Linked DNA regions of Nothobranchius furzeri. The protein of the gene in region 2 purifies or fractionates together with the protein of the main gene of each other region. This does not show direct contact. Links are inferred from orthologs where the notes say so. Each region holds a gene or a part of one and is shown on either strand. Other genes may lie near its edges.

Evidence for each region.
Region 1: the proteins of sentrin-specific protease 7 (region 2) and cbx5 purify together in Homo sapiens (affinity purification with mass spectrometry; 3 studies listed by BioGRID and IntAct, with this or other methods). This does not show direct contact. The link is inferred for Nothobranchius furzeri from reciprocal best matches to the Homo sapiens genes SENP7 and CBX5.

What each region holds. Positions count from the first base shown.
Region 1 is NC_091755.1:25,772,042-25,776,582, reverse strand, and holds the start of cbx5 (chromobox protein homolog 5), read right to left. Parts: upstream 2,962-4,541; 5' UTR 2,824-2,961; intron 2,354-2,823; 5' UTR 2,302-2,353; coding exon 2,174-2,301; intron 1,958-2,173; coding exon 1,717-1,957; intron 709-1,716; coding exon 608-708; intron 1-607. Other genes in the region: heterogeneous nuclear ribonucleoprotein A1, read left to right, coding at 3,910-3,921, 4,397-4,513. UniProt on the Homo sapiens protein: Component of heterochromatin that recognizes and binds histone H3 tails methylated at 'Lys-9' (H3K9me), leading to epigenetic repression. In contrast, it is excluded from chromatin when 'Tyr-41' of histone H3 is phosphorylated (H3Y41ph).
Region 2 is NC_091754.1:27,609,004-27,612,825, reverse strand, and holds part of sentrin-specific protease 7, read left to right. Parts: intron 1-655; coding exon 656-721; intron 722-802; coding exon 803-918; intron 919-1,651; coding exon 1,652-1,900; intron 1,901-2,015; coding exon 2,016-2,140; intron 2,141-3,822. UniProt on the Homo sapiens protein: Protease that acts as a positive regulator of the cGAS-STING pathway by catalyzing desumoylation of CGAS. Desumoylation of CGAS promotes DNA-binding activity of CGAS, subsequent oligomerization and activation.

The DNA.
Region 1 (4,541 bases), on a different chromosome or scaffold from region 2:
ATCTACAACCATCACTTCTGCTTAGGGACAATTTACTGCATGTATAAATTTAGCTAATATGCAATAGCATAAAGTTTTATGATGTGGCTTACTGTTTATGACGGAACAGCGATTAGCTAATGAATGATTTGCCAGTAGTAATGTGGTGTTAAAGATTCAGGTTGTTAGACATTTAAGCTCATGATAGGACATCGTGCTGTGCTCTGGTGCAACAATTCTGCACCGTTTAACCAGTTCTGTTTTAGACATTTAATAGTTGAAAATGTAAGTACTTTATAATACTTAAGCATATTTCTTTGTCATACGAGAATGAATAGTAGTCCTCTTAGATCAAGTGTGTCTGAGATCCCCATACCCAGCATGTTTTAGTCATCTCACTGCTGCAATACACCTGAATGGTTGAATTACCTGTTCAGCAGGTCACCAAGCTCTACAAAGGCCTGTTAGTCCCCCCTGTGCTAGGTTAGCTTCTAATGTTTATGTCTGAGGAAAATTTTGTTTTACTACGAAATGGGTGCATTATGATTACCAAAGTGCATAAAAGTAAGTGCATTGTCATTATAACAGAATGAAGATCTCCCAAAATGAGTCTACCAGTAAAACTTACCACTTCATTAGAAACATGAGGTCTCCACACGAGTCGGTTGCCCCAATGATCTTCTCTGGCTCTAGGCCCCTCTCAAAGCCACGTGCAACTAGGATCTCATCCTGAAATGTAAAAAAATAAAAAATAAAAAATTAAAAATGCCAGCTGAATATTTGCCAAAGGGCTATTTCATTGGCCATAAATTCAGCAATTCTAAACACAGGTCAAATCTAGATATAACTTATATTATTTAATAAGTATAGGTGTTGCCCATCACCTGCCCATAAGTTAATGCATTATTGGTAATTCAAAAAAACAATTTATCATTTTCATCTCAAAATTATACATTTTACAACATTTAGCTAAAATATAAACAGTCTTTACAGAAATCAGTTCAGAAGAGCTAAGTACAAATGCTCCCACGCATACAAATGATTCATATCAGAATGAGTGCGTTTACATGCAGCCAGTAACCCTTTTAAAACCCGAATATTCACAATAACCCGGTTCCGCAGGTCCTTGTAAACACCGCCAAAAACCTGGATATGCTCATAACCGGGTTTTTAAAAACCCGGTTACTACACCTGGCGTAACCCTTTTCTAACCCGAATGTTTGGTCGTGTAAACGCATACCGGGATATCCCCATCAAAGCGTGTGTTCTGCACATGCTCTGTTCGCAAGGAATCTTGGTCTTTTGAGTAGCGAGACGTCTTGTATGCGCCAGAACACCGGAAGTAAACAACAAGTTGGGAGCAACATGGCGAGTCGCGGCACAGCACCACACTTTCGCAGTGACGAAGAAACTAAAGCACAAACAAACGCGGTCGCCGTCTCTTCCGAACTGGGAAACGTGTTGTTGTTTTCACGGATACCGGAACAAGAAGAACCGGAAATGAGGCATATTGCGTCTGGACGTAGTCCATATGTCTTGACGCTACCCCACCGTCCGCATTTAAATCGGGTTATGCAAGTTAGGGGTAACTCTTTCTATTTATTGTAAACGGGCTTGTAAACGGGTTATTCTGATCAACTCAGAAACCCGAATACCGACCTTAACCCGATCATAACCCGGATATTGGCTGCATGTAAACGTAGTCAATGAAATTCACCTATAATGAAGATAATTTACCTCTTTCTTCTTCTTTGGCTTACTTCCTCCTTCCTCTTCTTCCTCCTCTTCATCAGAGCCCTTCTTTTTTAAGCTGCTGGGATCTTTAGTGCGTCCAGATGAGCCTGTGCTTGATTTACTGGCCCCGCTGCTAGGTGTCGAACTACCACCGCTGCTGCTGCTTTTCTTATAGGTCTTCATGAACTCTGAAATAAGCTCAGGGCAGTCTAGATTCTTCTCTGGCTCCCATGTGTTGTGCTTGCTGCAGAAAATCACAGCACAAGTCATTGAAATGTCACGTTCATTTTTAAAAGGGTAATATTGTGTGCTCAAACCAGCTTCACTGATGCTTTTTGTGCTGTGTGTGTGTGTGTGTGTGTGTGTGTGTGTGTGTGTGTGTGTGTGTGTGTGTGTGTGTGTGTGTGTGTAAAACGGGAATATCAAGTCACTGACCAGTAAACAGGTACTTGGTACTTACTCAGAGTATCCTTTCCACTTAAGGAAGAACTCCACCCTGCCTTTCACCACCCTCCTGTCCAGCACCTTCTCCACAACATACTCTTCTTCATCAGATGAGGACTCCTCTTCACGTGACTTTTTGCCCATCTCGGAGTTGGGTGCTTCACACTACACTCTTTTAGAGTTCGATGGCACTTTCCTGTTCACGACGAAATCACAAACAAGCATCTCACAAAACATGCCATTTTTTCTCAGCGCTCGTCCACATGTAAACACATAAATTTAAGCTCAAGCTGCAGGTTTGCAACCATGAGCGTTAGCCACACAACGTGGTTACCGTGCATCAATGAATATCTTCATTTAATCTCGTTCTTCCCACTAGCAGAACGATAAGCATGGGAAAACTGCTAATATAATGGCCATACATGTGCATTTCTCGACATATGCCCGTTTGAAATAGTTATATGCGACCAGACTGCACTCACAGAAAACGAACAAAGCACACAGTTCAATGAAGACCAAGGGATTTGTCCTGCTAACTAACCCCAAACTAGCCAAAGGAGCTAGCTTACGTGCTAAAGCTATGCTATACTCGCTAATTTACTTATCAAACAACTACCCGATACTTGCAACAGCGTAAAGCACATTTACAAAAACGCAGTTTCTTACCCTCGGAGTGTATAACCCACTGGATGTAGGCCGCTGGTCGCAGGGACTGCTCCGTTTATCTAGAGGCAGCAGTGCAGCTAATGCAGCACCAGCGTTAGCATCTAGCCTGTAGCACATAAAGGTGCCGTGCGCAAAAAGCGCGCGTTAAAAACGCACAATGAACATACCCGCCCCCAGTCTGCTGGTGACATAATAAATGTTTAGAAAACACGTTCCTTCCTACTAAATTTTAACTTTTCTATAACGTTAACGTTCGGTTTATAAAATTGTAGTAACTTGCAGTCACAATAATTTACAAAATAAGTATACACGATAATACAAAATAAAAAAAAACACAGCATAAAGGGTTACAATTATTTGACTGAAAATAAAGAAATTAATATATATACGTCTACTTTGTTGTAGTAATTTATGTTTTCATATATTTTTCGTTTAAATCTTGCTGCATTTATTTATTTCTCTATGTTCATGTTATTTTCCCCCTTTAGTCACCACACACAAAGCCCAGATTAACTAATTTGGCTCATTTTAAATTATACTTTAGCATAAACTCTTCAAGAGTTGTACATTTTGCATCGGTTTGTTTGATTACGGGACATCTTGTGTACCAACATGCGAATGATATTTCCCGTGTTGTTTAGCCAGACGGCAATTTGTCTATCTTTTATATTGTTTATTGTCTTTCTTAGGCTCGTTTCGTAGAAAAAAGTTAATAAGTCGTTTTTTCAGCACCTTTTAAATGTGAGCATTCAATTTCTCTGTCAATTCAGATAATTTGTTTATAGATGAAGGCACATTCATTTTTGGCTTTATGTAATTTAGGTCGGCCATTTTTCTTCATGGTCGACAAAGGCGAATGCCTACTACGCAGTGAATGGTTGTTCGCATTGATTGACAAAATTTAGACCAATCAAAATACAGTTCTGATTGACGACACAGTACCGCGGGAACTACAGACCAATCGCTGAGGGGAAGAGGCGTTTCCGTTCCTATTTCTTGTACGTTCACCCTGTCGCTGGTCTTGTCTGACGCAGCTAGTTCCTCTGCGGTCGGTTCTCAAGGAGTCGTCAAGGATAAAGCGGCAAAATGTCTAAAGAGGTGAGTGCTAAACTTATCAAAGGATATCAGGCCGTAAGATTAATAGTTTGGTTTTGGGTAGTTTTATTATAGGTTGGCCATACTTGGTGTTGTCGACGGACTGTGTGCCGTAGCTGCAGAGCTTTCTTGAAGCCGCCATTTTATAGAAGCTGAGCCTCGTGGCCTTTTGTTCTGATGATGATCTGTAAAGGACATCAGTGGCTTCTCTTCAACACCAGTCTTAAACGATTATATCCCTAACACATTAAACGACAGTGAGTACATATTAATTGTGTGTTGGCTCTTTGAAAGAAGGAGTTCTTTGACTTTAGTCTGAGCGGTTCCTAAACTGTAATGGCGGCGGTGCGCCTTCTCCACCCTATCCCTGATTTTTGATCAAAGACGCAGAGTTTGATATAAATGGTCCACCGACAATATTATTATGCGGAACTATATTGTGCATTGCTTCTCCTATGACGCAAATATTTTTGTGCAGGTTCCACGTGAGCCGGAGCAGCTCCGCAAGCTGTTCATCGGAGGCCTGAGCTTCGAGACAACAGACGAGAGCCTACGGGCTCATTTTGAACAATGGGGCAGCCTTACAGATTGCGTGGTACGCATACCTTTATGTCTCTTTTTAA
Region 2 (3,822 bases):
TATTAAGCTTTCCCAGGAAACTTGTGCATGGCAAGTATTGCACTGAGCCACAGTGTCTTTTTCAGACTTTAACAAAAAAATCCTGCCACGCGACCGACGTCGCTCATGTTCTTTGCTAGCATGCACGGTTCTGATCACGTGGGCTTTGCCTGCTGGGTCTGGCCACTGCTGGACAGAACTGCTGGAATTAAATTCAAAGCAGAACGGACTGCTTATGTTGGAGATTTTTGATGCAGTCTGATATAATCTGATACAGCGGTTTGGGGCTGATATCGAACCTATTTCTGGTATCAGTATCGGAACAGGGCATTCCTACTTTTGTCATCCGTTAATCTTTAGACTCGTTGATCTTGTAAAGGAAATGTTTTGTCCTACCTACAGACCGAACCCAGAAATTAGTTTTACTTCAAACGGCAATGCAGCAAATTGTCATTGCAGAAAATCTGAAATCAGAGTTTAAATTTCTAATCCACACTGTTGTAGAAGCCGCTGCAGATTATTTGTCGCTCTTGGTAGTCAGCCAAGTGTACTCATGCGTGACCTATCGTGCCCAACATCATCAGCTTTATCATTCAGGCCAATTAGTTTGTCATCTCCAATGAAGCTGAGGTTATAAAACGTTTACAAGTTGAATAACATGCAGCATGTCTTTTAGATTAAAAATCCTCTCAAAATCCCCATGGCATGCCTTCCACCAGAGTGTGAAAAGTTAGAACAACAGGTACAGCTGAGCCTTTACTGGTTTATTAATTATATTACTTATTTTATTTCTAATTCTAATCATGTTTCCTATTTTTAAAAGGTTCCACGGACTGCGTTTGCAGGCTGCAAATACAAATCTAAAAATTCACAACATAAAAATGGATCTGTGATAGTTGATCGCAGACATGCAGATTTTATATCTCAAGAAATGACTAGGTAAGTGTGTGGCGAAACGGAGCCAGCATGTAGACTTTCACTAGATAGTTTTTGTAGTCATAGTTTTTGCTAGATCTGTCAATTCTGGAACTCCCAATTAATATGAAGTCATCAGTAAGTAATTATAAAGTGCAATAACGCCTTAAAGTAATTCTGACCTAAAAATAAGCATAATCACAAGATGTATACGGTCAGGTTTTCGGTTTATGAAGGACCCATCGTGCAGGTGAGTGATCCAGAACAAAGGCAGGTTAACTGAAATATACTTAAATAAAATAAACTGAGGGCAAGGACTCTTCAGGAACCAACCAGGTAAATACCAGATTTAACAAGAGGATCTAACACGTGGTGCATGAACTGGGGTAAGGGTTTACCAAACAGGGACAAGTCAGCCAAAAGGCAAACAGGTGCATAATCGCTAACTGGGGGAGGCGGAGGGAAAAAATGGAACGACCAAACCAAAGGCACACTGATTTATGACATATACTAGTGTATGTTGTTTTTAAACATTTAAAATGACTTGTAGAATTAAACGTTCAAATGTGACGTTTGCACATCATTACTCCAATGTTGAGCTTATCACGACCGTGCATGTGGCTTATCTGGAGCACTCTGCTCCTCCGTGTTGATCAGCAAGTCTTATCTGCTTTGAAAAGGGAGCTCAAAGTTAGGAAACCTTGATGAACCACGGAGTTGCTGTTGAAAATGAACAATTCTCTGTTTTCTCGTTTAGGAGGAAACCATGTCTCATCTTAACGGATGTCCTGAAAACAAAAATGGGAAAGGATTTTAAAAGAAGGGTAAGAATGAGTAGTTTAACTAGAAAAAGAGGACGACAGAGGAAGAACGGTGAGGAAAGCAACAAAGAAGCACTGATCAGCAGGAACACTCGGTCTGTTCAGAAAGAAGCAGCAAATAATACCAGAAGCAAGAGTTTACCTCTAGAGAGCAGCTTGAAGATCACCACCCCCTCTTCTCAAAGGTAGGAAATTATTATCAATGTCAACGTTTTGGAACGTGATTTTAATAGAAAGTTTTATCCATATCGCTCCCAAACATTTACAGTTGAATCAGCCATTTTTCTTTTTTGTCTTTAGAAAAGGAGCCAAGAAAAGACAAAAAAAGTCTCAGGAGGACAAAGCAGAAAGCCTAGAAGCTGAAGAGGGGATGGTAGATGGTGATGGTGGTGAAGAAGCAGAAGAAACGATTGCTGAAGTGTTAGGTGGGTCAGCTTTTGTTAATGGTGACTTAAAATAAGTTATTTATAACATTCAGAGAAAAGGCTTTCATTCAGGATGATGTAGAAAAAAATGCATATTGATCATTATCAGTAATTATATAAAAAAAAACTGTAGAAAATGTATTTGAAGTGCGGCCCTGGCAATCTTATGCTATTCCTTAATTAAGTAATTTTAATGAAGAGCAGACACAAATGGACGCGTGGTGGCGGGGAGGATCAGCTAACTGGACCGGCCATCCTTTGGTGAATGTGAACCGTTGAAAATATTCCAGCTGAAATCTTAAGTGGAAGTATTTCTGTGTGTTTGTGTATTTTTGCCTTTTATATACATCCATCGCAGATATATTTGGCCTGTAAACAATGAGGAGGATGTGATTATTTATACAGTTTAAACAGGGAGCCAACAAATCTTTTGCTGCACGTTGTGCAACCTGTGCTGTTGCAGCTGAGGGAGAAGCAGACAGGGAGGGCGACTGGCTAGCAGACCTGCCCAAAAGAAGAGGGTCCATGTGTCAGACGTTTTTGCCTGAATATCAAGAACAGTGGCCCTCTAAGCTCCCTCACCATGCCTTTTGCACAATCTGCAGTTATGATGTGGACATAAGCCACCAGGAAGCTGCAGGTAAATTAGCCCCGGTGATGTGTGCGTATATGGTTTAAGCTACGGATGTCCCGATCAGGTATTTTGCCCTCGAGTCCGAGTCATTTTATTTTGAGAATCGGCCGATACCGAGTCCTGATCCGAAACTTTTGATACATAAAAAAATAAGAAAAGGAAGAAACAGTTCCAGAATGTTCCTTATTTTTTATTTAATTACCTTTTTATTAAAATTTTTAACAACATATCACTTCTGTGAGGTAGCTTGAACAATCAAGTAATAAATAACATAAATTCTTCACTTTAGGACTTTATTGCAAATATAAAAAGTCTAATATAAAAACAGATAGCACTTCAACTTAAACTGACTATATGGAAGTTTGACAGCCAAAACATGTGTAGAAATAATAAATTTCTTCTTCATACATTCTCCTGCAATGCCCTGGTCCTGTAGAATGAGCCCTGGCGTTTTTACTGTGATTGCCTATTTTTCTGTAAAATCACAGAAAAAGAGAGCTGCTCGGGTCGAGCAGGCTGCTTCATGCGCGTTCACGCTCAGGCATAGCCCGTAGCATTTGCTATCCGTAGCTTTAGCAGTAGAGAGAGAGGTAGTGCCAACTCAGCAATTTTATCGCTGTTCCTAACGCCTAGTGATGAACCTAGCTACATTTCTGAGGACCCTTAGCTACTTTCTGTAGAACTTTCTTCTAGATTTTTCCTGCAAATTAGCAACAAAATAGCCATTTTCGCTCCGAACTGTTCTTCGGATTGACGTTGTTTCAGGTGTCATCAAGGATATAAAAGTTACAGATACGAAGAATGTCACTGGCGCTTTAGCTCACTTAGTAAGATGTCTGACTCTCATGTAGGGGACCTGGGTTCGATTCCAGGTGTGAGTAGTTTATTTGGAGTTTCTTTTTTACATTAATGATAATTTTTTTACAGTTAGACGCCCAAATTTTTATTTGAGACGCGCCGAACGGCATTGAATTCACGGATTAAAAAGATGTGGGTTCAACTTTCATTTTGGAACAATTTTTCAAGCAAGGGAAGGGAATGATCTGAG